4 linked regions of the Anolis sagrei genome follow. The protein of the gene in region 1 interacts with the protein of each later gene in a pairwise test. Links are inferred from orthologs where the notes say so. Each region holds a gene or a part of one and is shown in the gene's direction. Other genes may lie near its edges.

Region 1 (7,201 bases):
GCTGGGGGGCGGGGGGCTCCCAACCCCTCCCTATACCTTTCCCTATATCGCAGGCCTGGGCCAACTCGGGCCCTCCAGATGTTTTGGTCTGTAACTCCCACTATTCCAAACAGCCTCAGCCCCCTTCCTTTCCCACCTCAGTTGCTTAAAAGGAACGTGCCTGAGGCTGTTATGAGCTGTGGGCGTTGGATTCCAAACTCCAATGCCAGAGATACAGCTTAATGTAACATTAGAAAATGTTGATCATTTCCACTACCATGGCAGCCACCTCTCCACCAAAGTCAACATCGACACCGAAAAACAACATTGCCTGAGCTCTGCGAGTGCAGCATTTTTCCGAATGAAGCAGAGAGTGGTATCCGTAGGGATACCAAGGTACTTGTCTATAAAGCTATTGTCCTCCCAACCCTGCTATATGCCTGGGAAATGTGGACTGTCTACAGACATCACATGCAACTCCTGGAACGATTCCATCAGCGCTGCCTCCGGAAAATCCTGCAAACATCTTGGGAAGAGAAGTGGACAAACATCAGCGTGCTGGAAGAAGCAAAGGCCACCAGCAATGAAGCGATGGTCCTCCGCCATCGACTCCGCTGGACCGGCCACATTGTCCGGATGCCCGACCACTGTGTCCCAAAGCAGTTGCTCTATTCCGAACTCAAGAACAGAAAACGGAATGTTGGAGGACAGGAAAAGAGATTTAAAGATAGGCTCAACGCCAGCATTAAAACTGGGTTGCTGTAGGTTTTTTTGGGGCTGTATGGCTATGGTCTAGAGGCATTCTCTCCTGACGTTTCGCCTGCATCTATGGCAAGCATCCTCTGAGGTAGTGAGGTCTGTTGGAACTAGGAAAAAGGGTTTATATATCTGTGGAATGACCAGGGTGAGACAAAGGACTCTTGTCTGCTGGAACTAGGTGTGAATGTTTCAACTGACCACCTTGATTAGCATACAATGGGCTGACTGTGCCTGGAACAAACTTTTGTTGAGAGGTAATTAGATGCCCCTGCCTGCTTCCTCTCTGTTGTTGTGCTGTTGCAATTTTAGAGTTTTTTTTAATACTGGTAGCCAGGGCCATAGCCAGAAAAACTTTTTTGGGAGGGGTTGAAATTTTCGGGGTGGGGGTGGGGGGTTGAAACCTGCCTCCTTGCTCATGCTGAAGCAAAGAGCACAGCAGGGGGCAGATCAGCCTTCAATAGCCTGCAGCTCCGCCCCTGTCAACCACCTCCACCAAGTCTGGCCTCCTTAATGAGAGCATTCAACACACACACACCCAACTTGGTTGCTTCACTACATCGGCTATTGCTGCAAGTAATGACAGTGTGAATAAATTGCCAATATTTGCTTGAATTAGTGCTTACAGTTCTGGAGGGACTCTTAATTTTTTGCATCTCATAGACTTAGCATGGGGATTTGGTTAACCAGTTAAAATTCATGAGTAAACCAGGTTTTTTTAAAAAAAATCTGAAACATTTCGGGGGGGGGGGGGTTGAACCCCTAAAACCACCCCCTCGCTACAGGCCTGCTGGTAGCCAGATTTTGTTCATTTTCATGGTTTCCTCCTTTCTGTTGAAATTGTCCACATGCTTGTGTATTTCAATGGCTTCTCTGTGTAGTCTGACATGGCGGTTGTGAGAGTCGTCCAGCATTTCTGTGTTCTCAAATAAAATGCTGTGTCCAGCCTTAAAATCTCTGGCATAGATACTGAGAACTGGGAAGCCCTGGCTCTTGAGCGCTCCAGCTGGAGCTCAGCTGTGACCAGCAGTGCTGCAGAATTTAAAGAGGCACGAATGGAGGGTGAAAGAGAGAAACCCCCGACCGAGACCGCCTTCCACCTGGAAACCAATGTCCTCACTGTGAGAGAAGATGCAGGTCAAGAATAGCGCTCCACAGCCACCTACGGATCCACAAGAATACTGATGGAAGACTATCCTAGTTGGCTAACGAGGGATCGCCTAAGAAGGATTCAAAACAATGTATTGTCGAAGGCTTTCATGGCTGGAATCACTAGGTTCTTGTGGGTTTTTTCGGGCTATATGGCCATGTTCTAGAGGCATTTTCTCCTGACGTTTCGCCTGCATCTATGGCAAGCATCCTCAGAGGTAGTGAGGTCTGTTGGAGTTAGGAAAATGGGTTTATATATCTGTGGAATAACTGGGGTGGGGCAAAGAGCTCTTCTCTGCTGGAGCTAGGTGTGAATGTTTCAACTGACCACCTTCATTAGCATTTGAAGGCCTGGCTGAGCCTGGGGGAATCTTTTGTTGAGAGGTGTTAAGATGTGCCTGGTTGTTTCCTCTCTGCTGTTTTGCTGTTCTAATTTTAGAGTTTTTTAAATGCTGGTAGCCAGATTTTGTTCATTTTCATGGTTTCCTCCTTTCTGTTGAAATTGTCCACATGCTTGTGGATTTCAATGGCTTCTCTGTGTAGTCTGACATGGTGGTTGTGAGAGTGGTCCAGCATTTCTGTGTTCTCAAATAATATGCTGTGTCCAGGCTGGTTCATCAGGTGCTCTGCTATGGATGACTTCTCTGGTTGAAGCTCAGCCAGGCCTTCAAATGCTAATGAAGGTGGTCAGTTGAAACATTCACACCTAGCTCCAGCAGAGAAGAGCTCTTTGCCCCACCCCAGATATATAAACCCATTGTCCTAATTCCAACAGACCTCACTACATTGTCGAAGGCGTTCATGGCTGGAATCACTGGGTTGTTGTAGGTTTTTCCGGGCTGTATGGCCATGTTCTGGAGGCCATTTTTCTCCTGACGTTTCGCCTGCATCTATGGCAAGCATCCTCAGAGGTAGTGAGGTCTGTTGGAAGTAGGAAAAATGTGTTTATATATCTGTGGAATGACCAGGGTAATGTTTCAGCTGATCAAAGTGTTCTTGCCATACATCAAGGGAACCACTGACCGCATAGGGAAGCTGATGAGGAAACACAACAGCCTTGGCAGACCGTGCAAAAAGAATCTGCGAACCCCACCTCCTCCAAGATGAACTGAACCACCTCAACTGGGCTCTCCAGGCCAATGGAGACTCCACCTCAGACATCAGAAGAGCTGCAAGACCAAGAACAAGCCACGAGAGTAAAGATGAAGATCCACCCAGAGGAAAAGTGTTCCTGCCATACATCAAGGGAACCACTGGCCGCATAGGGAAGCTGATGAGGAAACACAACATACAAACTATCTACAAACCCACCAAGAAAATCCAACAAATGCTACGTTCAGCAAAGGACAAGAGGGATCCTCTCACCTCTGCAGGAGTCTACCGTGTACCATGCAGCTGTGGACAAGTCTACATAGGGACCACCAAACGCAGCATTGCCCAAACACAAATCAAGGAACATGAAAGGCACTGCTGACTACTTCAACCAGAGAAGTCAGCCATAGCAGAGCACCTGATGAACCAACCTGGACACAGCATATTATTTGAGAACACAAAAATGCTGGACCACACCAACAACCACCATGTCAGACTACACAGAGAAGCCACTGAAATCCACAAGCATGTGGACAATTTCAACAGAAAGGAAGAGACCATGAAAATGAACAAAATCTGGCTACCAGTATTAAAAAAAACTCTAAAATTACAACAACAAAACAACAGAGAGGAAGCAATCAGGGACAGCTAATCACCTCTTAAGCCGCTCCTCATAGGGCTTGTTCTCCAGACCCTTGATCATTTTAGTCGCCCTCCTCTGGACACATTCCAGCTTGTCAATATCTCTCTTGAATTGTGGTGCCTAGAACTGGACACAATATTCCAGGTGTGGTCTAACCAAAGCAGAATAGAGGAGTAGCATTACTTCCCTGGACCTAGACACTATGCTCCTATTGATGCAGGCCAAAATCCCATTGGCTTTTTTTGCCGCCACATCACATTGTTGGCTCATGTTTAACTTGTTGTCCACGTTAAACATGTGATTCCCAAACACCTGGAGGGCCCCAGTTGGCCCAGGCGTGGCTGGGCGCCCTTTGCGGAGGAGGCGGGGCAACGCGGTCTCCTCAACCCGAATAGGCCACGCCCCTTTTGTTTGGCCCCTCCCACCGCTCCGCCGGTCCTTCAGCCGTGACGCCTCCACGGTCTGCGCAGCCGCAGTCGCTGCCGGCGACGGTTGTATCCGGCCGGCGCCTTTTTCTCCTCCTCCTCCCTTCTTCCCTCATCTCAACTGCCGTTGCTGCAGCCCTCGCTCCCCCCCCTCCTCCTCCTCCCTTCCGTTTCTCCCTCTCTCTGTCTCTATGACGCGATGGCAACGGCCAACTTCGGCAAGATCCAGATAGGGATCTATGTGGAGATCAAGCGCAGCGATGGTGAGCCGGCGAGAGGGAAGGGAAGGGTGGGGTGGGGAGGCTGAAGATGGAGGAGGAGGGGGAGGCCGGAGGGATGGAGGAAGGCTCGCCGTCAAGGCCCATTGTGAGGGGGGTGGTGGTAGTGGCGGCGGCGTGAGGCCTGTGAGGCGCTTTTCTGTGCCTGGTGGGGAATGTCTAATGCTGGGAGGGAGACATGGACGGCAGGGTGGGAGGTTGCTGCAGTGCTGCTGGGAGAGAGGCAAAGAAAGAGGGGAAGAGGCGAAGGAGAGAGAAGCAGCCCCCTTTCCTCGTGTGTGGGGCTGGTTTGAGGGACTGACAGGGGAAGGGCGTGACCCTCGGGTTTAAGAGGCCGGGGGGCCAGGAGAAGGCAGGGATCCTTGAGGGCTGGAGAGGCGTGTATTGTGTTGTGGGAGGAGAGGAATGGGATAATGCTGGTAGTGAGGAATGTATGACAGGGTGTGGACTCTGTGGCTCTATGAAATCCACATTGAAATGGATCTCTATTTGTTTATCTAGCCCAACCCACTGCCATGCAGGAAAAAGCACAATCAAAGTACCCCTGACAGATGGCCATCCAGCCCCCAAGAAAGGAGCTTCCACCACACTCAGAAGACCCTCCCACACAGCCCTACATCCCAGAATATCAAGGCAGAAAATCCCACATGATCAGAGTGTGGTCTCAGATAACCCAGTTCAAAACAGATATTGTGGGGTTTTCTGCCTTGATATTCTGGGATATAGGGCTGCTTGGAAGGGCCCTTAGATAACCCAGTCCTTTTTTCTATAAGCCTAAAAGCAGAGTTTTCTCTGGGCACCACAGTGTTCCTTTGCTTGAGTCAGGCTCATTCCACACAGCTGAAGAAAATCCACATTTTCTGCTTTGAACTGGGATACATGGCAGTGTGGACTCAGATAACCCAATTCAAAACAGATATTCTGGGATATAGGGCTGTGTGGAAGGGCCCTTAGATAACCCAGTCCTTTTTTCTATAAGCCCCAAAGCAGAGTTTCCTCTGGGCACCACAGTGTTCCTTTGCTTGAGCCAGGCTCATTCCACACAGCTGAAGAAAATCCACATTGTCTGCTTTGAACTGGGATATATGGCAGTGTGGACTCTGATAACTCAATTCAAAGCAGATATTTTGGGATTTTCTGCCTAGATATTCTGGAATATAGGGCTGTGTGGAAGGGCCCTGAAGCAGAGTGTTCCACTGCTGAAGCAGCAATACCCGTTCATTGATATAGGTGTATATGGGAACAGGAATAGGCAATGCATTTTCATCATGCACTTGTTGAATTGGGGGAGGGGGAGAGAAAGCACACCCTCTTTCCTTTCCTCTATAAGCCTAGAAGCAGAGTTCCCTCTGGGCCCCACTGTGTTCCTTTGCTTGAACCAGGCCCCTTCCAGACAGCTGAAGAAAATCCACATTATCTGCTTTGAACTGGGATATAGGGCAATGTGGACTCAGATAAACCAGTTCAAAGTAGATGTGGGATTTTCTGCCTAGATATTTTGAGTAATATGGCTGTGTGGAAGGTCCCTGGGAAAGATTCTGTGGGCCCTTCCACACAGACCTATATCCCAGAATATCAAAGAAGAGAATCCCACATTGTCTAGTTTGAACTAGAATATGTGGCAGTATGGACTCAGATAATGTGGGATTTTATTCAGCTGTGTGGAAGAGGCCTGGGTCAAGCAGAGAAACACTGTGGTGCCCAGAGGGAACTCTGCTTCTAGGCTTATAGAGAAAGGAGTAGGAAAGGGGGTGTGCTTCCTTCCCCCTCACCTCAACAAGTGCATGATGAAAATACAATGGGTATTGTAGCTTCAGCAGTGGAACACTGCTTCAGAGTGTGGTGGAAGCTCCTTCCTTGGGAGCTTTTAATCAGAGGCTAGATGGCCATCTGTCATGGGTACTTTGATTGTGCTTTTCCTACATGGTAAGGGATTGGACTAGATAGTCCAGGCACGAGCCATCTTCAGCCCTCCAGGTGTTTTGGACATCAACTCCAAAAATTCCCAGCCAGCTTTCAGGCTGTTAGGAATTGTGGGAGTTGAAGTCCAAAACACCTGGAGGGCTGAAGTTTGCCCATGCCTGAGATAGCCCATGTGGTCTCTTCCAACTCTGTTATTCTATGATCCTACCCATTACTTAAAGATGCATGTGAAGACTTTGGGGCTCAAAGAGAACTTGGCCTCATTGTTTATAGGTATGGTGAGGTTGGAGAGCCGACTTGTGTCCCTGTCTCTCTGTGTCAAACAGAGAAAGGCTTTGGTGCCTAGAGAGAACTTGGCTTCATGGCTTGTGGAAGGAAGGAGCAGGAAGGGGATGTGCTTTTTCAGATGTGCTTTCTCCCTCATCCTTTCAACAAGTGCATTATGAAAATATATCACGTATTCGCACTCCCACCTTAATGTGAAAAACCACATACTTGCCTGGATGGCAAGGGATACAGGGATGGTGAGATAAGAGAGCTGGTGTGTGTGTGTGTTTGGATTTGTGTGTGTCTTTTTTTGTTTGTCTTTGTGCCCAGAGAGAGCATGGCTTCATGGTTTATAGAGAAGGCTGCTTAAGTCCTCTCCCCTGAACAAGTACATTAAGAAAATATATTTCCAATCCCATCTAAGTGAGCTACGCTTGCATGAATGGCTGATACGTTGAGTAACCATTATCTATCTCAGTCACCCATGTGGACAACTTTGGATACTGGGATATTTTGGAATTATAGATAAGGGATGCTCAACCTGCATTTTTAATTACACTTATTAGATGAATGGAAGAATCCTTGGTAAGCTTCAGTATGCCCCCGCCCTTGTTATTTAGCACAAGTCTTGCTGTGTTGTGTTCAACTAAATAAGATCACCACTCTCCTTAGCACCCGGATGTTTGTCT
Region 2 (7,618 bases), on another chromosome or scaffold:
TCCACAAGCCCCCTTTCTCATTGCTTCTCTTACCCTTGATCATTTTAGTCGCCCTCCTCTGGTAACTGGTCCTGAATCATTGTTCCCTCTTTAAGCCAGTTCTTGTGGGCCACAAAGGACAATAATTTCCACAATTGGCAGAAGTTTTATTTCTGTTTTCTTCTGCTTTCTTCTTATTACCTTTATCATCAAGATGTTTTCCACTGTGAATTAGCAAGAAGTTTTCAGCCAAGCACAAGTTGTTCTGATGGTACTCCGTTTTTGGTGGCTATTGAAGACTTCGAATGCATTTTTCCATTGCACAAATGGTTTAGCAACCAATGCACCAAGCTTCTGATGACCACCTTTACCCCCAACTTATCCTTCAAACACTACACTGTACTTACAGAGTGCACCTTGTACATGAAATGAGTAGGTTCACCAGGGAAATCTGCTGAACCATTTGGGTTGAAATCTTAGAAGGAGGCCTTCACCAGCAACCGATATTAAGCTATGACTAGGCAACTAGTGATTATTGCCAAGACTCAACACTAAAGCTATCTTGGTTTGGCAAGGTTTACACAGCCAAAGATTCAGAGCTTCAAGATTTTTTAGCATAATGTTTTAAGGACAACCTCAGTGGCCTGAGGCCCGGGGATTTTTAATGGTGATAAATGTCATTATTTATTATGCTTATTTTATATGTTTATGTAATATGTTTATGCAATGTGCTTTATCCTTTACTTGTTTGGGTTGAGGGGATGATGTGCCTTGAGAAACCAGACTTGGCCACGGTGCTTGAATGAAGGACCTTCCTTCTCTCCCTCCCTTCCCTTCTTTCCTCCCTTTCTTTCCTTTTCTTCTTTCCTTCTCCTTCCTTTCCTTCTTTCCCTCCTTCCCTTCCTTCCTGTCCCTCCTTCCTTCTTCCTTTCCTTCTTTTCCTCCCTCCCTCTCTTTCTTCTTTCCCTTTCTTCATTTCCTTCCCCTTCATTTCCTTCCCTCCTTTCTTCATTCCCCTCCTTTCTTTCCCTCCTTCCTTCCTTCGTCCTTCCTTCTCCTCCCTCCCTGTCCCTCCTTCTTTCTTTTCCTTCCTTCCCTTCTTTCCCTCCCTCCCTTCCTTTTTCCTTCCTTCATGTCCCTCCTTCCTTCTTCCTTTCCTTCTTTCTATGTAAGATATAAATACAATATTAAATGGAAGGGACAGTCAAGAAGTAATGAGAGAAGGATAGGATAACTTATGCTAGAAGATGGAAGCAGGAAGATACGCCAGACGAAAATGAGAGACTCACAAAAATCTTGGAAGTAAGAAATATGGACTGGCTTACATTTTTGATAACAAGAAGTAAAGGAATAAAAATGAAGGAAACAAACTGGGAAAAAGTGACGGGTTATTTTAAGCAAAGGAACAAAAAAATCCTGATATAATTGAAGAAGAGTTGGAGGAAAGGAAGAAGAGGAGAAAGAAGACAAGGAGAGAAGAAAGGGAAGGAGAAGAGGAGGAGGTTTGGATGAACGACAAAGAGGACCCTATGAAAACCTCGGGAAGTCGAAAGCAAGAAACCTTTTTTTTTTCTTGTTATTATTGTCTTATATGGGGCTTTTGGGCTACACTTCTCCTCTCTTCCCTCCCCTGCTATCTCTCTATTTCTCCTGTCTCTCTTGTCTATTATCTTTTGGTCACTATATCATTTCATATTTCGGGGAACTGATATATACACATACCCTATATCTCTTTTACTAGTAGCCTTCGCTACAAAGTTTTTATTTTTTTTAACTGTATTTGAAAACTGAATAAAGATTATAAATAAATAAATAAAAAAGAAGTAACGAGAGAAGGAGGGAAAGAGGAAAGGAAGGAAGGAGAGAAGGAGGGAGGGAAAGAAGGAAAGAAAAAAATATAGAGAAGCAAGGAAGGAGAGAAGGAAATAAAAAGTGAAAGGAAAAAGAGAGGGAAGAAAGGAGAGAAGGAACGAAAGATAATCATCATCATCATCATCATCATCATTTGTTTGTACCCCGCTAACATCTTCCGAAGGACTTGGTGCAGCTTACAAGAGGCCGAGGCCCAAACATCACAAAAACAGCAGCATCACAAATACAACAAAAAAAACCTCACAAAACAGTAATAAACATTAAAACAATAGCAAATAACAATAGACAATAATACCACGACACATTTAAAAACCAAAGCCGGGCCAATGTAATGATTAAATTTTTTTAAAATGCTGGGCATGGCAGGTGAAATAGATAGGTTTTTGGAGATAGGTGCAATGTGCAGACAATTGTAAATCTCTAGTAAAGTGCATTTAGGGATATGATGCTTGGAGTTTCCTATTCTGGGAAGGCACACTGGAACAACCATGTCTTCAAGCTCCTCCTAAAGACTGCCAATGTTGGGGCTTGTCTGATGTCCTTGGGGAGAGAGTTGCAGAGGTGGGGGGCCACCACAGAGAAGGCCCTATCCCTGGTCCCCACCAATTGCGCCTGTGATGCAGGTGGGATCGTGAGTAGGGCCTCTCCAGATGATCTGAGAGATCGTGTGGGTTCATATATGGAGATGCGGTCACGAAGGTAGGCGGGTCCCAAACTGTTTAGGGCTTTGTAGGTAAGCACCTGCACCTTGAATTGGGACTGGAAAATGAATGGCAGCCAATGGTGCTTCTTAAACAGGAGGGTTGACCCAGGCCCGTAGCCAGGATTTCGTTTCGGGGGGGGGGCTGATTTTTTTTCAGGGGGGGTTTCGGGGGGGCTGCGTTTCGGGGGGGGGCTGAGTCTGAGTGAAAGAGGGTCTAGCCTAGCAAACCTTTTGTATCATTACCCCAATACCCCCATGCATATGGGATATATTAAGTATGGTGATCAGATCATGATATGAATAAACATAACAGTTTAAATAATGCACCAGTAAGGCCTTTTCGCGAACCACCATGAAAATTTGGGGGGGGGGCTGAAGCCCCCCGAGCCCCCCCCCCTGGCTACATGCCTGGGTTGACCTCTCTCTGTAAGGAGCACCAGTTAACCTGGCCACCCCCCGTTGAACCAGTTGGAATTTCTGGGCCGTTTTCAAGGGCAGCCCCACGTAGCGCGCATTACAGTAGTCCAATCTAGAGGTGACTAAGGCATGGACCACCCTGGCCAGATCCACCTTCCCGAGATAGGGAAGGAACAGGGGCGGCTCGTCCATTACGCGAAGTAAGCGGTCGCAGAACACTTTTTTTTTGCCAGGGGCGCAGAGGCGCCTCTGTAAATGCCCCTCGACCTCCTCTTGAGGAGCGCCCCCTCAGCTCACAACAGCCCTAGCAGTCCGGGGGGAGCCTTGGTTTTGTTGCCTCGCTCCCGGGCGATCCTCTTCCCAAAGGGGCCGGGCCCTTGAGCCTCGCCTCGCCCCTCTCGTTCCTGCTCCACCCGGCCACCGGGTGCGCGAGCAGAGCCGGCGCTCAATCGTTCTCCGCGTTCGATCCCTTCCCCATGACCGGCTCCCTTTCCCAATCCCCCGTCGCTCCACCCGCCTCCTCTCCTCTCCCCGATCCGCGGGTGGGCCAAAGGGCGGAGCCGCCGTTCCTGGCCCGCTTCGGGTCCAGAGGCGTGTCTGAAGACCCCAGCGTGCGCACCAAAAATCGCCTCTTCTCCTGACTATCTCTTCAGCCATTGGGACCAAGAGAGAGAGAGAGAGAGCCCCTCCGGCTGGAGGTATCTCCCACCTCCGCTCCCTCCTTTGTTTTTGCGCCTACCTTCAGGAAAGGTGGGCATCTCCACCTCTCTCTCTCTCTCTCTCTCTCTCTCTTGATCCCAATGGCTGAGGAGAAAGTCAGGAGAAGAGGTGACTTTTGGTGCACACACCGGGGTCTTCAGGCACACCTCCGGACCCAAAGCGCGCCAGGCAAGGGAGCAAGTGCGGCAAGTGTAGTTACTGGGATGTATAGTTCACCTACAATCAAAGAGCATTCTGAACTCCACCAATGATGGAATTGAACCAAATATGGCACACCGAACTCCCACGACAAACAGAAAATATATATCAATGATTGGTTGGGGGGGCAGGGCGGGCGCCAAAATACTGTTTGCTTACCGTTGAAAATTACCTAGGGCCGCCTCTGGGAAGGAAGGAAGTATGTAACCAAAGAGCAAAGAAAAGGAGGAAAGAAACAGGTAGAGATGGAAGAAAGAAGAGAGATAGGGAAAGAAAACGAGGAAAGGAAGGAAAGAGGGAAGGGAGGAGAGAAAGAGGGAGGGAAGGTTGGCCACAGCAACGCGTGGCGGGTTCAGCTAGTAGATTCTATAACAAAGACACCTTTATGGGTTTCTTGCCAAAGAAGAGAATTAGGTTGGATAATCTGGCCCCAATATAAAGAATTAACACAAAAGGAAGAAGAAGAAGCAATAAATACATCGGGCGACAGGCTTGCTCCCACCCAGCCCTTGGTGTGTCTGGCCTGGAGTGCTCTTCTCCCTCCCTGCTTTGGAGTTGGGCTCGTGCAGGAAGAGCATCAGCATCCAAGGCCGGAGCCAAAGCGGGAGCAATGCCTGATGGGCGTTGTGGTTCGGAGGCCAGCCTTGCCTCCCCGGGGGTTCCTTGGGCGGCGAGCATGTGCAGAAGAGGCCAGGGTTCCGAGGAGCCGCGCATCCCTGCCTTGCCTGCCGCCTCCCCTCCTCCTCCTCCTCCCTTTGCCATCCCCGCTCCCCTTGCCATGCCGTGAAGAGCGAGCACCCAGCGAGACCTCGCCCGCCCGCCCGCCAGCCCTGCTGATCTGCCTCCGATGTTTTCTTGCTTCTGCTTCAGCCTCCAGAACCATTCCTTCAACAGCCCGGCTGCTTTGCCCGAGTAAGTGCCTGCTTTGCTCGCTCCAAGCGCAACCAGGGGCTTCTGCTGGGGGCTGGGCAGGGAAAGAAAGGCAGACAAGCCTCTCTCCCTTCCTTCCTTCCTTCCTTCCTTCCTTCCTTCCTTCCTTCCTTCCTTCCCAATAGCCAACCATTATACCTTCCCTGAATGATCAACCTGCCTGAATTGGCACACAATGCCTGCAACCTCTCTCTCTCTGTCTTTCTATCTCTCTGAAATGCCTCCTTTACATTCACTTGCATGGCTTTGCACCTTGAGATGACATTTGAGGGCATCTTCTTGGAACCAATGAGGGGGAAAACACACACACCAGCCTTGAAATGCCATTAAGGAGGCATGGCAGTGAGTAAGGAGGGTGCCAGGCTTTTTTAAGAGCCTGCCAGCCATCATGCCAGCAGGAGGGAAGAACTCACAATACCCATCGGAAAAAAAACCCCACAAACATATCCAGTGTACAAGGCTTCAGTATGTGCATGATCTTTTCGATAGCCACTGGGTTTGGTTACATGAGTGGACAGAGTGTGTTCGTGGCAGGGAAGGGAGCGAGACATGCTTGAATATCTATATCTATACATCTATATAGGTAATTTTCAACAGTAAGCAAACAGTATTTTTTGGCGCCCCCCCCCCCAACCAATCATTGATATATATCAGTGTTTCTCAACCGGGGGGTCGGGACCTCTGAGGGGGTCGTGAGGGGGTGTCAAACGGGTCGCCAAAGACCATCAGAAAACATAGTATTTTCTGTTGGTCATTGGGATTCTGTGTGGGAAGTTTGACCCAATTCTATTGTTGGTCGAGTTCAGAATGCTGTTTGATTGTAGGTGAACTATAAATCCCAATAACTACAATTCCCAAAAATCAAGGCCTATTTTCCCCAGACTCCACCGGTGTTCACATTTGGGCATATTGAGTATTCATGCCAAATTTGGTCCAGATCCATCATTGCATGAATCCACAGCACTCCTCTGGATATAGGTGAACTACAACTCCCAATCTCAAGGTCAGTGGCCACAAAACCCTTCCAGTGTTTTCTAATCGTCATGGGAGTTCTGTGTGCCAAGTTTGGTTCAATTCCATCATTGGTGGAGTTCAGAATGCTCTTTGATTATAGGTGAACTATAAATCCCAGCAACCACAACTCCCAAATTACAAGATCAATCCTCCCCCAACCCCATTAGCATTCAGATTTGGGCATATTTGGTTTTTCTGCTCAATTTAGTCCAGTGAATGAAAATACATCCTGCATATCGGATATTTACATAACGATTTATAAAGTAGTAAAATGACAGGTATCAAATAGCAACAAAAACAATATCATGGTTGGGTGTCACCACAACATATGGAACTGCATTAAGGGGTCACGGCATTAGCAAGGTTGAGAACCACTGATCTATATCTATATATCTATATAGGTAATTTTCAACAGTAAGCAAACAGTATTTTGGCGCACCCCCCCCCCCCAACCAATCACTGATATATATTTTTTCTGTTTGTCGTGGAAGTTCTGTGTGCCATATTTGGTTCAATTCCATCATTGGTGGAGTTCAGAACGCTCTTTGATTGTAGGTGAACTATACATCCTAGTAACTACACTTGCCGCACTTGCTCCATTGCCTGGCCTGCTTTGGGTCCAGAGGCGTGCCTGAAGACCCCGGCGTGTGCACCAAAAGTCACCTCTTCTCCTGACTTTCTCCTCAGCCATTGGGACCAAGAGAGAGAGAGAGAGAGGTGGAGATGCCCACCTTCCCTGAAGGTAGGCGCAAAAACAAAGGAGAGAGCGGAGGTGGGAGATACCTCCAGCCGGAGGGGCTCTCTCTCTCTCTCTCTCTTGGTCCTAATGGCTGAAGAGAAAGTCAGGAGAAGAGGCAACTTTTGGTGCGCACGCTGGGGTCTTCAGACACGCCTCCGGACCCAAAGTGGGCCAGGCGCGGCCGCTCCGCCCCTTGGCACACCCGCGGATTGGGGAGAGGAGAGGAGGCGGGTGGAGCGCCGGGGGATCGGGAAAGGGAGCCGGTCATGGGGAAGGGATCGAACGCGGAGAACGATTGAGCGCCGGCTCTGCTCGCGCACCCGGTGGCCGGGTGGAGCAGGAACGAGAGGGGCTAGGCGAGGCTCAAGGGCCCGGCCCCTTTGGGAAGAGGATCGCCCGGCAGCGAGGCAATAAGCTGAGGCTCCCCCTGGACTGCTAGGGCTGTTGCGAGCTGAGGGGGCGCTCCTCAAGTGGCGGTTGAGGGGCATTTACTGAGGCACCTCTGCGCCCCTGGCAAAAAAAAGTGTTCTGCGACCGCTTACTTCGCGTAATGGATGAGCCGCCCCTGTCTATATCTATATCTATATATATATAAATGCTCTGTGCATAATGAGTACCTTAAAAATAAAAGAACCAATGAACAAAATCACACCAAATTTGGCAACAAAATGTTTCACAACACAAGGAATGACCATCACTTGAAAAATTAGGATTTTGTCATTTGGGAGTTGTAGTTGTTGGGATTTATAGTTCACCTATAATCAAAGAGCATTCTGAAACCCACCAACGATGGAATTGAACCAAAATTGGCACACAGGACACCCCTGACCAACAGAAAACACTAGAAGGGTCAAGCTAGGATGGATCTGGACCAAACTTGGCATGGATACTCAATATTCCCAAATGTGGACACTGGTGGAGTTTGGGGAAAATAGACCTTGACATTTGGGGGTTGTAGTTGTCGGTATTGATAGTTCACCTACAATCAAAGAGCATTGTGAACCACATCAAAGATAGAATTAGGCCTACCTTCCCACACAGAACCC
Region 3 (7,933 bases), on another chromosome or scaffold:
AACTTCCTGGAGGGTTCGTAGGAAGAAATGCGTTCGGATAGATAGGCTGGGCTGGAACCGTTTAGGGCTTTATAGGCTAAAGCCAGCACTTTGAACTGAGCCTGGTAGCAAACTGGCAGCCAGTGGAGCTGATGCAGCAGAGGAGTTGTATGCTCCCTGAGCCCTGCTCCTGTTAGCAACCTGGCTGCCGCACACTGGACCATTTGAAGCTTCCGGGCCGTCTTCAAAGGCAACCCCATGTAGAGCACGTTGCAGTAATCTATGCAGGATGTAACCAGAGCGTGTATTCTCCAGAGCTTCTGATAATTTAAGTCCAAGTTTGGACCACCAAATGTTTTAGATGATGATGATGATGATGATGATGATGATGATGATGTCCATTAGCCACTAGCATCGACCCAGCTGTTAAGGCAGGCATGGGCAAACTTCAGCCCTCCAAATGTTTTGGACTTCAATTCCCACAATTCCTAACCGCAGGTAGGCTGTTAGGAATTGTGGTTGTTGTAGTCCAAAACACCTGGAGGGCTGAAGTTTGCCTATGCCTGTGTTAAGGACAGGTTGGAGTTGTGGCTCCAAAGGAGCCCATCCTGTCCTCAGAAAAAGCATAACTATTAGTTCTTTAACAAGGGGTGGAGAACGTTGGCTCTGCAGGTGTTTTTTACACAACTCCCATTGGTTTTGACCAGTTTGGTAAATTCCAAAGGGTAGTATGAGTCGTACTTCCAAAAATCTGGTATACTGGCTTTGCACAGAGTTACTGAATTATCTCTCTCTGTGCATTGTTTAGTTCAGACAGGGAAGATGGATAATGTAGTCCTACAACATTGAAAGGACCAAAGGTTTCCCATCTCTGGCGAGACCTGCCCTGTCTAATGGCTGTTGTGACTATTGATCTAAGTGGCCAGGTGCAAAAAAGAAGACAAGGGCACTGTGCTGTCGCATGCTGGGCCTGTGCATAAGACTGTAGACAGGACATACATTCTGTGTGCCCAACGGGACGCCGGGGCTGCCTCAGATTAAAGGTCTTTGGATTTCCTTAAATCACAGTCTCTAGAATGCTTAAAGGTTCCACAAAGTTCTTTATTAATGAAAACAAACAGGGACTTTAAAGCTTTCTTAACAGTCTATTGGCTCTCTCTCAGTCTTGTCCACAGGGAACAGGCACTATCTTCATAAACTGTATTTAGCTAATAGGGAAATCCTTAACTTCTAATCTGGGCAGTCTGTCTTTGCCTCTGTTGGCGTGGAGCCCCTGCACCCAGTACCAACTGTGTCTGGTTTCCACGAGTGACCCTTACCAAGCAGAGCTTTGTAGACTTCCAGAGGAAAAAGGAGTTCAGGTTTCGGTGATGGCTGGCTGAAGTCCTTCAGCAAAGGAGCTGTAAGGCTGTATGATCCTCGGCCAAGCTGTGGGTTGTATAACCCCGGCCAAGCTATAGAAGATGAAGCTTTCTACAGGAACTCTTGGTGTTACGTCCTGCATGGAAAGCTTCTCTGTGTGGACTGAACCCAAACTGGCTCCTATTCCCTCCAAAACCCAAAGGGGGCGGGACCAGGGAACCTAACTATAATTGACAGGTGGCTTGCCCTATGATTGCAGCCAAAAGAAGCCACCTATCTGCAGAGTCCCTGAAACTTAGGACTACAACAAACATTCAATGCAAAGCAAACAAAATTGGAGCTCCTGGTACAGTTGTACCTGCACAGGCACTGTGCACAGAAGAGGATATTTCACCAGTTATAGCTTGTCATACAAACAATGTTGAAATTCCCACTTCTGTAAAACTATGAAGGCAGCAGGAACCTGGCTTCTTTTACATCCTATTTTACAAAGACAAAAGAAAATTTAGATTAATACTTCCCAAATGAGTTGTTATTGTACCATTTTAACTATTCGAATTATTTCCCCTCTATATGATTACATATTTATTGAAGGTATGTTGCACGTTGCTACAAGTTGGCCCTGGACTTGAGCAAAATTGGTTAGTTTTCTGTGTTGTTAATTGTGCGGAAAGGGATTTTGTGCTGGTACAACTGCACCAGGAGCTCCAATTTTGTTTGCTTTGCATTTAATGTTTGTTGCAGTCCTAAGTTTCAGGGACTCTGCAGATAGGTGGCTTCTTTTGGCTGCAATTATAGGGCAAGCCACCTGTCAATTATAGTTAGGTCCCCTGGTCCCACCCCCTTTGGGTTTTTGGAGGGAATAGGAGCCTTTTTGAGTCCAGTCCACACAGAGAAGCTCTCCATGCAGGACATAATACCAAGAGCTCCTGTAGAAAGCTTCGTTTTCTATGGCTTGGTCAGGGAGATATACAGCCTACAGCTTGGCCGGGGAGAAAAGGCCCACAACTTGGCTGAGGATTTTACAGCCTTACAGCTCCTTTGCTGAAGGACTTCAGCCAGCCATCACTGAAACCTGAACTCCTTCTTTTCCCCTGGAAGTCTACAAAGCTCTGCTTGGTAAGGGTCGCTCGCAGAAGCCAGATGCAGTTGGTACCGGGTGCAGGGGCTCCATGCCAACAGAGGCAAGTACAGACTGCCCAGATTAGAAGTTAAGGATTTCCCCATTAGTTAATTACAGTTAACAACCTCTGTACATGGCATTCATCGACCTTGCAAAGGCATTCGACACAGTGAATCGCAGCGCTCTCTGGACCATCCTCCAAAAAATCGGGTGCCCAAACAAATTTGTGAACATCCTGCGGCTCCTCCATGATGACATGATGGCAACAGTTTTGGACAGCAGTGGCTCCCAAAGTGACCCATTTAAGGTGGAATCGGGTGTCAAACAGGGATGTGTTATTGCCCCAACTTTATTCTCCATCTTCATCGCTATGATACTTCACCTTGTTGATGGGAAGCTTCCCACTGAAGTGGAAATAATCTATCGGACAGATGGCAAGCTATTCAACCTCAGCAGACTGAAAGCCAAAACCAAGGTTACAACAACATCTGTTATAGAACTCCAGTATGCTGATGACAACGTCGTCTGTGCGCATTCAGAAGAAGATCTACAAGCCACTCTAAACACCTTCGCAGAAGCATACGAGAAGCTCGGCTTGTCATTGAACATTGAAAAAACCAAGGTGCTTTTCCAGCAGGCACCAGCCAATCCCTCTCCAATGCCAGTGATACAGCTTAATGGTGTAACATTAGAAAATGTTGTTCATTTCCGTTACCTTGGCAGCTACCTCTCCACCAAAGTCAACATCGACACCGAAATACAACACCGCCTGAACTCTGCAAGCGCAGCATTTTTCCGAATGAAGCAGAGAGTGTTTGAGGACCGGGACATCCGTAGGGATACCAAGGTGCTTGTTTATAAAGCTATTGTCCTCCCAACCCTGCTCTATGCCTGTGAGACGTGGACTGTCTACAGACGTCACATGCAACTCCTGGAACGATTCCATCAGTGCTGCCTCCGGAAAATCCTGCAAATCTCTTGGGAAGACAAGCGGACAAACGTCAGCATGCTGGAAGAAGCAAAGACCACCAGCACTGAAGCGATGGTCCTCCGCCACCAACTCCGCTGGACCGGCCATGTTGTCCGGATGCCCGACCACCGTCTCCCAAAGCAGCTGCTCTACTCCGAACTCAAGAACGGAAAACGGAATGTTGGAGGACAAGAAAAGAGATTTAAAGATGGGCTCAAAGCCAACCTTAAAAACTCTGGCATAGACTGTGAGAACTGGGAAGTCCTGGCCCTTGACCACTCCAGCTGGAGGTCAGCTGTGACCAGCAGTGCTGCAGAATTTGAGGAGGCATGAGTGGAGGGTGAAAAAGAGAAACGTGCCAAGAGGAAGGCGCGTCAAGCCAACCCCGGCCGAGACCGCCTTCTGCCTGGAAACCAATGCCCTTACTGCGGAAGAAGATGCAGAGCAAGAATAGGGACCCACAAGAATATTGGAAGACAATCATCCTCGGAAAGCGAGGGATCGCCTAAGTAAGTAAGTAAGTAATTACAGTTAAGAAGATAGTGCCTGTTCCCAGTGAACAAGATTGCAAGAGCCAATAGACTGTTAAGAAAGCTTGAAAGTACCTGTTCATTTTCATTAATAAAGAACATTGTTGAACCTTTAAGCAATCTAAAGACTCTGGGGGAATCCAAGGGCCTTTAATCTGAGGCAGCCCCGGCGTCCCGTTGGGCACACAGAATTTATGTCCTGTCTACAGTTTTATGCACAGGCCCAGCGTGCGACAGCACAGATTTCGTCATTCTCTTTGGCCCGGCCATCATCTTGTGCCACATCAGGAGCTTCGTAAAGGGATCGCGCAATACGACAGAATCATAATCGGCTATTTGTTCTCAGTCTCAAAAAAGTTTTACGAACTTTGACGGTGTCGCCATGTTCGCTTGTTACAAAATAAATGTTATGGCATCTGAAGGAGCAACAGATTTACTGCGGCATACGGTTGCTATCATTGGCCTCGAGGGCCTTTCACACATCTGATGAAGGTAGGCTCTGGTCCAAGGGAACATATGCCGCCCTCAATGTGGCCCAAGACTCTGCTGTCAAGGTTTGGCAAAATAATTTTTTTTAAAGTGTGTCTTCTGCCATCTTGTGGCAGAACTGTTTTAATTGAGTCTCAAATATTTTCCAGCCATGGGCAAACTTGGGCCCTCCAGGTGTTTTGGACTTCAACTCCCACAATTCCTAACAGCCGTAGGCTGTTAGGAATTGTGGGAGTTGAAGTCCAAAACACCTGGAGGGCCCAAGTTTGCCTATGCCTGTTCTAGACTGTATTTGCAGCCATAGAAGGGAAAGGGTTAACTGTGAGCTTTGACTACATTTCCCAGAAACCCACGCGAGGGTTGAATCTGGACAGTGGCGCAAAGGCTACTGGGAATGGTAGTTTTCCAGCCGAAACCACCACTTAACTTTCTTTTTTCAGTCAGGGGAGGCCGAAAATGGCGTTCGTGCTGCCGAGGAAGGTGTTCGTGCTGCCGAAGAAGGCGGGGGTGTCGCTGAAGCAGGTGAAGAGCATCCTCGTCCGCTTCTGCCCCTTCGAGGCCAATGTGGAGAGCACCAGGTGAGGAGGAGGAGGAGGAGGAGATGGGCCCTCTGCAGAGGCCTAAAGGGGAAAGAAGGCCTTCGCTCTCCATTGAAGCCCGCGTCGCGTAGTTCCTTGATTCTTCATTGATGGCAGGATAGACGCCTAATTAATCCTGAAATGTTCTCAGGCCTCATACAGCTGGTTAGATCATAGAATAATAGAGTTGGAAGAGACCACATGGACCATCTAGTCCAACCCAACGCACAATCAAAGCACTCCTGACAGATGGCCAGCCATCTGTTTATAGAATTCTAGACTTGGAAGGGAGTATAGAATTCTAGACTTGGGAGCCCTCAAGGTCAACCAGTCCAGCCCCCTTCTGCTATACAGGAAGGCACAATCAAAGCACCACCAACAGCCAGCCTCCAAGGAAGGAGCTTCCACCACACTCTGAGGCAGAGAGTTCCACTGTTGAATTATTATTATTATTGGGTTGTTGTAGGTTTTTCCGGGCTATATGGCCATGTTCTGGAGGCATTCTCTCTTGACGTTTTGCCTGCATCTATGGCAAGCATCCTCAGAGGTAGTGAGGTCTGTTGGAAGTAGGAAAAATGGGTTTATATATCTGTGGAATGACCAGGGTGAGACAAAGGACTTTTGTCTGTTGGGGCTAGCTGTGAATGTTTCAGCTGATCACCTTGATTAGCATTCAATGGCTTGGAAGGGCCTGGGTGGAATCTCTTGTTGAGAGTGATTTTATGTGCCTGTTTGTTTCCCCTCTGCTGTTTTGCTATTGTAATTTTAGAGTTTTTTAATACTGGTAGCAAGATTTTGTTCATTTTCATGGTTTCTTCCTTTCTGTTGAAATTGTCCACATGCTTGTGGATTTCAATGGCTTCTCTGTGTAGTCTGACATGGTGGTTGTTGGTGTGGTCCAGCATTTCTGTGTTCTCAAATAATATGCTGTGTCCAGGCTGGTTCATCAGGTGCTCTGCTATGGCTGACTTCTCTGGTTGGAGTAGTCTGCAATGCCTTTCATGTTCCTTGATGCGTGTCTGGGCACTACGTTTGGTAGTCCCTATGTAGACTTGTCCACAGCTGCATGGTCCACAGTAGTAATATTATTTATTTATTTATTTATTTATTTAAAAGTTTTATATACCTGTCTTCTCCACCTCCGGAGAAGACTCAGAGGGACTCAGGTCAGTTCACAACATATATTCAAACAACAGCAATACAAAAACAATACAGTAAATCATCATTAAACATTAAAACCTAAAATACAGTAAAAATACCTCATCACATTGCACAAGGCAAGTCGTCAAATAGAGTTACGATTCATCACCATCCTTCCCTATGCACAGGGTTATTGACTCACTCGTCAAATGCCATATTCCAAAGCCAGGTTTTTAGTAGCTTTCTAAACGACAGGAGGGAAGGGGCAGATCTAATCTCTAGTGGAAGGGAGTTCCAGAGCCGGGGAGCCACCACCAAGAAGGCCCTGTCCCTCGTCCCCACCAGACGCGATTGTGAAGGTGGTGGGACCGAGAGCAGGGCCGCTCCTGAGATCTTAATAACCTTTTTTTTTTTTTTTGAAGTAATTTTTATTGAACATTTTATAAATCCACACAAGGAAAGAGGGGGAACAATAACAAGGAGAAAGGTAAGTAGGAAAAAAGGAAAAAAGAAACAACAAAAACATAACAACACACCAAATAAACAACATATCTACCTAAACTAATCTAAAATGACTTCCACTCCAACCTCGGGATCTTCTCACACTTCTTCTTCATCTTACTTGTCTATTCTTTTCCTCTATGACTTTTCTAAATTTCTTTTCATAGTCATAAAAAGAAGACCAATCTGTCCTCTTTAACGATTTTCCGGTATTTCTTCTCATTAAAAAAGTTAATTCATCCATGTCTCTTATTTCTTTAACTTTCTCCAACCATTCTTCAATGGTCGGTATTTGATCATTCTTCCAAAATTTGGCAAAAATAATCCTTGCCGCTGTGGTGAAATAAGTAAACAGTTTATCTTCATTCTCCTCCAGTTTGAGTTCAGAGTCTGTGAATCCTAATAAGTAATATTCTGGTTTCTTTTTGAACCTCTTATTCAACATCTTTTGTATTTCCACATGAATAGAGGCCCAAAACTTAGTTGTATCTTTACATGACCACCACATGTGGTAAAAGGTGCCTGTTTGTTCCCCACATTTCCAACATTTATCTGAAACATTTTGATACATGTGACTAAGCTTATTCGGTGTCAAATACCATCTATAAAACATTTTATACCAATTTTCTTTCAAGTCCATGGCATAAGTATATTTCAATTTTTTGTTCCATATTTGCTCCCATTCCCTAAATTGAATGGGCCTTCTTAAGTTTTCCGCCCACTTAATCATACATGTTTTCACCTGTTCAGTTTCCGTTAACCACTGGATCAATTTATTATACAATATTGTAACTATTTTCTTTTGTGTTTTCAATATTTTATCCCATGTGTTTTCTTCCCAGTCAAAACCAATTTTTTGATCTTGTTTAAAGTATTCTTTAATTTGTAGGTAATGTAACCAGGTTATATTACCATAAGAGTTCTTAAGTTGTTCAAAAGATTTAATCTCCGTTTTCCCTTTTAGCAGGATGTCCTTATATCTTGGCCAGACCCTCCATCCTAAAAGTCTTCTTTGATGGGCCTCCATTGCTGAGACCCATAATGGAGTAGATTTGTAGAAGAGGGTTTTGTATCTCATCCATGTCCTCAGTAGGGAGGCACGCACAAAGTGGTTACCAAAATTCTTTTCCTGAGAGATCTTAATAACCTTGATGGCTCATAGGGGAGAATCCGTTCGGACAGGTAAATTGGGCCGGAGTCGTTTAGGGCTTTATAGGTCAGCTCTTACAGTCAGGAAGTTCTTCCTAATGTTCAGTTGGAA
Region 4 (7,625 bases), on another chromosome or scaffold:
AATGGGCCACTTCACATCAGATGACCACCAGATCTACTACTGCGGACAAGAGGAACATCGAAGAAATGGAGTAGCCTTCATAATTAATAAGAAATTCGCTAAAGCGGTGCTTGGATACAACCCAAAAAATGACAGAATGATCTCAATTCGAGTGCAAGGAAAGCCTTTCAACATTACAGTGATCCAAATATATGCCCCAACCACAGCTGCTGAAGAAGCAGAAGTAGATCAGTTCTATGAGGATCTGCAGGAACTACTGGATAATACACCAAAAAGAGACATTATTTTCATTACAGGAGACTGGAATGCCAAGGTGGGAAGTCAAATGACAACAGGGATCACAGGCAAGCATGGTCTGGGAGAACAAAATGAAGCAGGACGCAGGCTGATAGAATTTTGCCAGGAAAACTCGCTGTGTATAACGAATACTCTCTTCCAACAACCTAAAAGACGGCTTTACACATGGACCTCACCAGACGGTCAACACCGAAATCAGATTGACTACATCCTTTGCAGCCAAAGGTGGCGGACATCCATCCAGTCGGTGAAAACAAGACCTGGGGCTGACTGTAGCTCAGATCACGAACTTCTTATTGCCCAATTTAGAATAAAACTAAAGAGATCAGGGAAAATACACAGACCAGTTAGATATGATCTCACTAACATTCCTAGCGAATATACAGTGGAAGTGAAGAACAGATTTGAAGGACTAGATTTAGTAAACAGAGTCCCAGAAGAACTATGGACAGAAGTCCGAGACATTGTTCAGGAGGCGGCAACAAAGTACGTCCCAAAGAAAAAGAAAACCAAGAAGGCAAAATGGTTGTCTGCTGAGACACTGGAAGTAGCCCAAGAAAGGAGGAAAGCAAAAGAAAACAGGGATAAGGGGAGATATGCCCAGTTAAATGCGCAATTCCAGAGGTTAGCCAGAAGAGATAAGGAACTATTTTTAAATAAGCAATGCATGGAAGTGGAAGAAGACAACAGAATAGGAAGGACAAGAGACCTCTTCCAGAAAATTAGAAACATTGGAGGTAAATTTCAGGCAAAAATTGGTATGATAAGAAACAAAGATGGCAGGGACCTAACAGAAGCTGAAGAGATCAAGAGAAGGTGGCGAGACTATACAGAAGATCTGTATAGGAAGGATAATAATATTGAGGATAGTTTTGACGGTGTGGTGAATGAATTAGAACCAGACATCCTGAGGAGTGAGGTTGAATGGGCCTTAAGAAGCATTGCTAACAACAAGGCAGCAGGAGACGACGGAATCCCAGCTGAACTGTTTAAAATCTTAAAAGATGATGCTGTCAAGGTGATGCATGCCATTTGCCAGCAAATATGGAAAACACAAGAATGGCCATCAGACTGGAAAAAATCAACTTATATCCCCATACCAAAAAAGGGAAATGCGAAAGACTGCTCAAACTTCCGCACAGTGGCCCTTATTTCTCATGCCAGTAAGGTAATGCTCAAGATCCTGCAAGGAAGACTCCAGCAATACATGGAGCGAGAGTTGCCAGATGTTCAAGCTGGGTTTAGAAAAGGCAGAGGAACGAGAGACCAGATTGCCAATATCCGCTGGATAATGGAGAAAGGCAGGGAGTTTCAGAAAAACATCTACTTCTGCTTCATTGACTATTCTAAAGCCTTTGACTGTGTGGATCATAATAAATTGTGGCAAGTTCTTAGTGGGATGGGCATCCCAAGCCACCTTGTCTCTCTCCTGAGGAATCTGTACAAGGACCAAGTAGCAACAGTAAGAACTGACCACGGAACAACAGACTGGTTCAAGATTGGGAAAGGCGTACGGCAAGGCTGCATCCTCTCACCCAACCTATTCAACTTGTATGCAGAACACATCATGCGATGTGCGGGGCTGGATGAATGCAAAGCTGGGGTGAAAATTGCTGGAAGAAACACTAACAACCTCAGATATGCAGATGACACCACTCTGATGGCCGAAAGCGAGGAGGAGCTGAGGAGCCTTCTAATCAAGGTGAAAGAAGAAAGCGCAAAAGCCGGGTTGCAGCTAAACGTCAAAAAAAACCAAGATTATGGCAACAAGAATGATTGACAACTGGAAAATAGAGGGAGAAACCGTGGAGGCCGTGACAGACTTTGTATGTCTAGGTGCAAAGATTACTGCAGATGCAGACTGTGGCCAGGAAATCAGAAGACGCTTACTTCTTGGGAGAAGAGCAATGTCCAATCTCGATAAAATAGTAAAGAGTAGAGACATCAGACTGGCAACAAAGATCCGCCTAGTCAAAGCCATGGTATTCCCTGTAGTAACCTACGGATGTGAGAGCTGGACCTTAGGGAAGGCTGAGCGAAGGAAGATCGATGCTTTTGAACTGTGGTGTTGGAGGAAAGTTCTGAGAGTGCCTTGGACTGCGAGAAGATCCAACCAGTCCATCCTCCAGGAAATAAAGCCCGACTGCTCACTGGAGGGAAAGATACTAGAGACAAAGTTGAAGTACTTTGGTCACATCATGAGGAGACAGGAAAGCCTAGAGAAGACAATTATGCTGGGGAAAGTGGAAGGCAAAAGGAAGAGGGGCCGACCAAGGGCAAGATGGATGGATGGCATCCTTGAAGTGACTGGACTGACCTTGAGGGAGCTGGGGGTGGTGACGGCCGACAGGGAGCTCTGGCGTGGGCTGGTCCATGAGGTCACGAAGAGTCGGAGACGACTGAACGAATGAACAACAACAACAAAATACACTCCCATTCCTCTTGAGTGGCATTGCCTTTTGGGGATTGCCTGTTCCAGTTGGTAAAGCTAAAGGTTTCCCCCTGACATTAAGCCAGTCGTGTCCGACTCTGGGGGTTGGTGCTCATCTCAATTTCTAAGTCAAAGAGACAGCGTTGTCCATAGACACCTCCAAGTTCATGTGGCCAGCATGACTGCCTGGAGCAACTACTGCAGTGCACCACCATGGCTATGGAATCGTGGGACATGTAGTCAAGTCAAGTCAACTCTATTTAAATCCTGTCCCATCTCTCCCTTGGGGACTCGGGGCTGTTTACAACATCAGTGGCAGCCATTCATTGCTATACTTTATTTATTTATCGCATCAGAAGCGAATTGAGGTACAGTTATAATGTATTTAAAACCAGTACAAAGATTAAAACTTGTAAAATGTCTTTTGACCTGAGTGCCTCTGGTGTCGTTGTGAGAAGGTCCTCCATTGTCCATGTGGCAGGGCTCAAGTGCCATACAACACAGTGAAACTAGTAAAGGACATTCGTGTCTGACTCTGGGGATTGGTGAAAACCTCCATTGCGAAGCCAAAGAGCCGGCTTTATCAGTAGTCACCTCCAAGGTAAGGTGGCCGGCATGACTGCATGGAGCACCGTGCCGGTATCTATTGATCTACTCCCATTTGCATGTTTTCGAACTGCTAGGTTGGCAGAAGCTGGGGCTAACAGCAGAAGCTCACCATGCTCCTCGGATTCGAACCTGAGACCTTTCGATCAGCAAGTTCAGCAGCTCAGCGGTTTAAGCCACTGCGCCACCGGGGGCTCCACACAGTGAAACTACATATACATAATAAATTAAATGCAAATAATTACACGCAAATAAACAATGTAGTAGTCTGGCGAGGCAGTGGAGAAGGCTTGCACAACTCCCAACTCATGGGATTCCATAGCGTTGAGCCAGGGCAGTTAAAAGCGGTGCCAGACTCTAATTGGAGTGGGTTGTTGTAGGTTTTTCCGGGCTATAATTGGAGTGTTTCCCTTCCAAAGCGGCTTTGGACTTCAGCTCCCAGAATCCTTCAGCATTGGCCGCGGAAGCCGGGTCTTCTGGGAGTTGAAGTCCCGGAAGATTAGAGTGGACAAATAAAGCCGAGGACGTTATGACGTCACAAGGTATACCCATTGGAAGCGTTGGGAAGAAGAAGCCCCGCCCTATTCAGTGGGGGAGGGTTGTCCTTTCTGGGCTTTGGCCCCGCCCACAATCCCGGGCGCGAGGAGGGGCAGAAAATAAGCCCCGCCCCTTCTAGCACGCGACAGCTGTGACGAGGCTTTAGAAGAGCAAGAGAGAGAGAGCCGAGGCTATACTGAGCTTTGGCCCCGCCCATCATCCCGGGCGCAAGGTGAAGGGGAGGAGGGGAAAACAAGCCCCGCCCCTTCCAGCACGCGACGGCCGTGACGAGGCTTTGTCCTTAGAAGAGCAAGAGTAGAGCCGAGGCTATGCTGAGCTTTGGCCCCGCCCACCATCCTGGCCGCGAGGAGGAAGAGGGGAAAACAAGCCCCGCCCCTTCTCCTGAGAGCAAGCGGACCTTCTTGGGCTTTGGCCCCGCCCATCATCCCGGGCGCGAGGAGGAGGAGGGGGGAGAGGAGGGGAAAACAAGCCCCGCCCCTTCTCCTGAGAGCAAGACCTTCTTGGGCTTTAAGCCCCGCCCATCATCCCGGGCGCGAGGAGGAGGAGGGGGGAGAGGAGGGGAAAACAAGCCCCGCCCCTTCCAGCACGCGACAGCTGTGACGAGGCTTTCTCCTTAGAAGAGCAAGGGGGCCCTTTAAGCCCCGCCCACCATCCCGGGCGCGAGGAGGAGGAGGAGGGGGGAAAGGAGGGGAAAACAAGCCCCGCCCCTTCCCGCACGCGACAGCTGTGACGAGGCTTTCTCCTGAGAGCGAGAGACACAGCAGAGGCCCATTCGCTACTTTCCGTCGCCGGCTCTTCCATCCTTCGGTTCGCCCTCCCTCCGTGTCGGCAGCGCGCGCTTGCTTGGCTCTTCTCAGAACGCTGCTGTTTTCCTCCCCCCCCCTTCCTCCCGCAAGACGGGGCTGCTGGCGGTTGGAAGCCCTGGCTGAGTGAGGCGAATGAGGAGCGTCTGAGGAGAAGGAAAAGGAGGAGGAAGGGCGGGCATGTCCTCCTCGGCTGCCCCTCAGCCACCAGTTCGAGGAGCGGAGGAGGAGGAAGACAAGAAGGCGGCGACATCTTCTTCTACTTCTACTACTACTACTACCGGCGGCGGGGCCTGTGCGGCGGAAGAGCGCCCTTCCAAGCAAGACGAGAGCAGCGACGACGACCAGGGCCCGGCCTTTCCACCTCCTCCTCGCCGTCACGTGACCGAGGCCCCCCTCCCTAAGGAGAACCCGTGGGCCCGCCGCTGCTGGAAGCCGGCCTCGGCCTCCTCCAGCTCGGCTTCCCCTTCCAGCGCTTCCGCCGGCAGCGAGGGCGAGCCTCACGACCCAGGTGAGGGCGGAGGAGAGGGGAAGAGGGGCGTCGTGGGTTGCCACACTCTTTCCCGCCTTCCTTCTCCTCTACAGCAGGGATGGGACAACTTAGGCCTTCCTTCCAGGTGGTTTAGACTTCAAGGCTTGGGCCTTCCTTGCAGGTGTTTTGGACTTCAACTCCCACCATTCCTAACAGCCTCAGGCCCCTTCTTTTTCCCCCTCAGCCGCTTAAGCTGTTAGGAATGGTGGGAGTTGAAGTCCAAAACACCTGCAAGGAAGGCCCATGTCTGGAGCACTTGCTCTCCTAATGGCGGCGACCCCGAATGACACCCAATTCGTGGGAAAGCAAGGCACTTCCTGGCGCCCTCCTTCAGTAGAGCAGAGCAGCGCGTCGCCAGATTAGGAGGATGAACCTGAGAAGGGGTGGGGCCTGCCTTAGAAGTTGTTTTACGAGAGCGAAACGGCTGAGACAGGGCTAAGTCGTGGTTGAGGTTAGCGTCTGGAAGCTACAGCTGGCGTTCAAAAAAAGAAAAAAAAAACACTTAAGAGGGGAATGATATCTTGGGGCCTTTCCACACAGACGTAGAACCCGGAATACCCAAGCAGATCATTCACCATGTCCGCTTTGAAGGGGAATGTCTTGAGTCCACACAGCCATAGAATTCAGAATAGCAAGGGAGATTCTCCTCAATACCTGATTTGGACTGGGTTATAATAATAATAATAATCTTTATTTATACCCTGCCACCATCTCCCCAAAGGGGACTCGGAGTGGCTTACATGAGGCCAAGCCCAGCGATTCATTACAGCAACATAAAATATAAACAAAATAGCATCACTGCCCAAGAACCCAGAATAGCAAGGGAGATCCTCCACAATACCTGATTTGAACTGGATTATAATAATAATAATGATAATAATAATCTTTATTTATACCCCGCCACCATCTCCTCAAAGGGGACTCAGAGCGGCTTACATGAGGCCAAGCCCAGCAATACATTAGGTTAAAGGTAAAGGTAGTCCCCTGACATTAAGTCCAGTCATGTCTGACTCTGGGGTGTGGTGCTCATCTCCTTTTCTAATCCGAAGAGCCGGCGTTGTCCGTAGACACCTCCAAGGTCATGTGGCCGGCATGACTGCATGGAGTGCTGTTACCTTCCCGCCTGAGCGGTACCTATTGATCTACTCACATTTGCATGTTTTCGAACTGCTAGGTTGGCAGAAGCTAGGGCTGACAGCGGAAGCTCACGCCGCTCCCCGGAATCGAACCTGCGACCTTTCGATCAACAAGCTCAGCAGCTCAGTGCTTTAACCCACTGCGCCACCGCAAACAAAATAACGTCACTGCCCAAGAACCTAGAATAGCAAGGGAGATCCTCCACAATACCTGATTTGAACTTGGTTATAATACTAATCTTTATTTATACCCCGCCACCATCTCCCCAAAGGGGACTCGGAGCGGCTTACATGAGGCCAAGCCCAGCGATACATTACAGCAACATAAAATATAAACAAAATAACATCACTGCCCAAGACCCTAGAATAACAAGGGAGATCATCCACAATACCTGATTTGAACTGGGTTATCTGAGTTCACACAGCCCAAGAACCCAGAATAACAAGGGAGCTCCTCCACAATACCCGATTTGGACTGGGTTATAATAATAATCTTTATTTATACCCCGCCACCATCTTCCCAAAGGGGACTCGAAGCAGCTTACTGGATTATTTGAGTCTACACTGCCATAGAACGCAGAATATCAAGGTAAATAATCCACAATATCTGATTTGAACTGGAATATCTGAGCTTGCTGACCGAAATGTTGGCAGTTCGAATCCAGGGAACGGGGTAAGCTCCCGCTGTTAGGCTCAGTTTCTATCAGCCTAGCAGTATGAAAACATGCAAATGTGAGTACTTCAATAGATATCGTATCTGATTTGAACGGAAATATCTGATTCCCCTTGGTGGCACAGCAGGTTAAACCACTGAGCTTCTGAACTCGCTGACCAAAATGTTGGCAGTTCGAATCCAGGGAGTGTGGTGAGCTCCCGCTGTTAGGCTCAGCTTCTGTCAACCTAGCAGTACGAAAACATGCAAAAGTGGGTAGATCAATAGATACCACTTCTGTGGAAAGGTAATGACGCTCTGTGCAGTCATGCTGGCCACATGACCTTGAAGGTGTCTATGGACAATGCCAGTTCTTTGGCTTAGAAGTGGAGATGAGCACCACCTCCTAGAGTCGCACACGACTAGACAATGTCAAGGGAAACCTTTACCTTTACTATCTAAGTTCACACTGCCATAGAACCCAAAATATCAAGACAAATCATGCACAATATCTGATTTCAACTGGAATGTTTGAGTCCCCTGGTGGCATAGTGGATAAAACAGATGAGCTGCTGAACTTGCTGACTGAAAGGTCGGCGGTTCAAATCCG

The links.
Region 2: the proteins of KIF2A (region 1) and FAM13C interact in binary tests that used the Homo sapiens proteins (3 or more experiments, as listed by UniProt). The two-hybrid records come from large-scale screens. The link is inferred for Anolis sagrei from reciprocal best matches to the Homo sapiens genes KIF2A and FAM13C.
Region 3: the proteins of KIF2A (region 1) and MRPL53 interact in binary tests that used the Homo sapiens proteins (3 or more experiments, as listed by UniProt). The two-hybrid records come from large-scale screens. The link is inferred for Anolis sagrei from reciprocal best matches to the Homo sapiens genes KIF2A and MRPL53.
Region 4: the proteins of KIF2A (region 1) and LARP1B interact in binary tests that used the Homo sapiens proteins (3 or more experiments, as listed by UniProt). The two-hybrid records come from large-scale screens. The link is inferred for Anolis sagrei from reciprocal best matches to the Homo sapiens genes KIF2A and LARP1B.

The regions. Positions count from the first base shown.
Region 1 is NC_090022.1:269,547,712-269,554,912, reverse strand, and holds the start of KIF2A (kinesin-like protein KIF2A), read left to right. Parts: upstream 1-4,079; 5' UTR 4,080-4,243; coding exon 4,244-4,307; intron 4,308-7,201. UniProt on the Homo sapiens protein: Plus end-directed microtubule-dependent motor required for normal brain development. May regulate microtubule dynamics during axonal growth. Required for normal progression through mitosis. Required for normal congress of chromosomes at the metaphase plate.
Region 2 is NC_090023.1:164,360,822-164,368,439, reverse strand, and holds the start of FAM13C (protein FAM13C), read left to right. Parts: upstream 1-4,443; 5' UTR 4,444-4,736; coding exon 4,737-4,801; intron 4,802-7,618.
Region 3 is NC_090024.1:39,152,168-39,160,100, reverse strand, and holds the start of MRPL53 (large ribosomal subunit protein mL53), read left to right. Parts: upstream 1-4,862; 5' UTR 4,863-4,909; coding exon 4,910-5,031; intron 5,032-7,933.
Region 4 is NC_090025.1:39,203,515-39,211,139, forward strand, and holds the start of LARP1B (la-related protein 1B), read left to right. Parts: upstream 1-4,460; 5' UTR 4,461-4,875; coding exon 4,876-5,206; intron 5,207-7,625.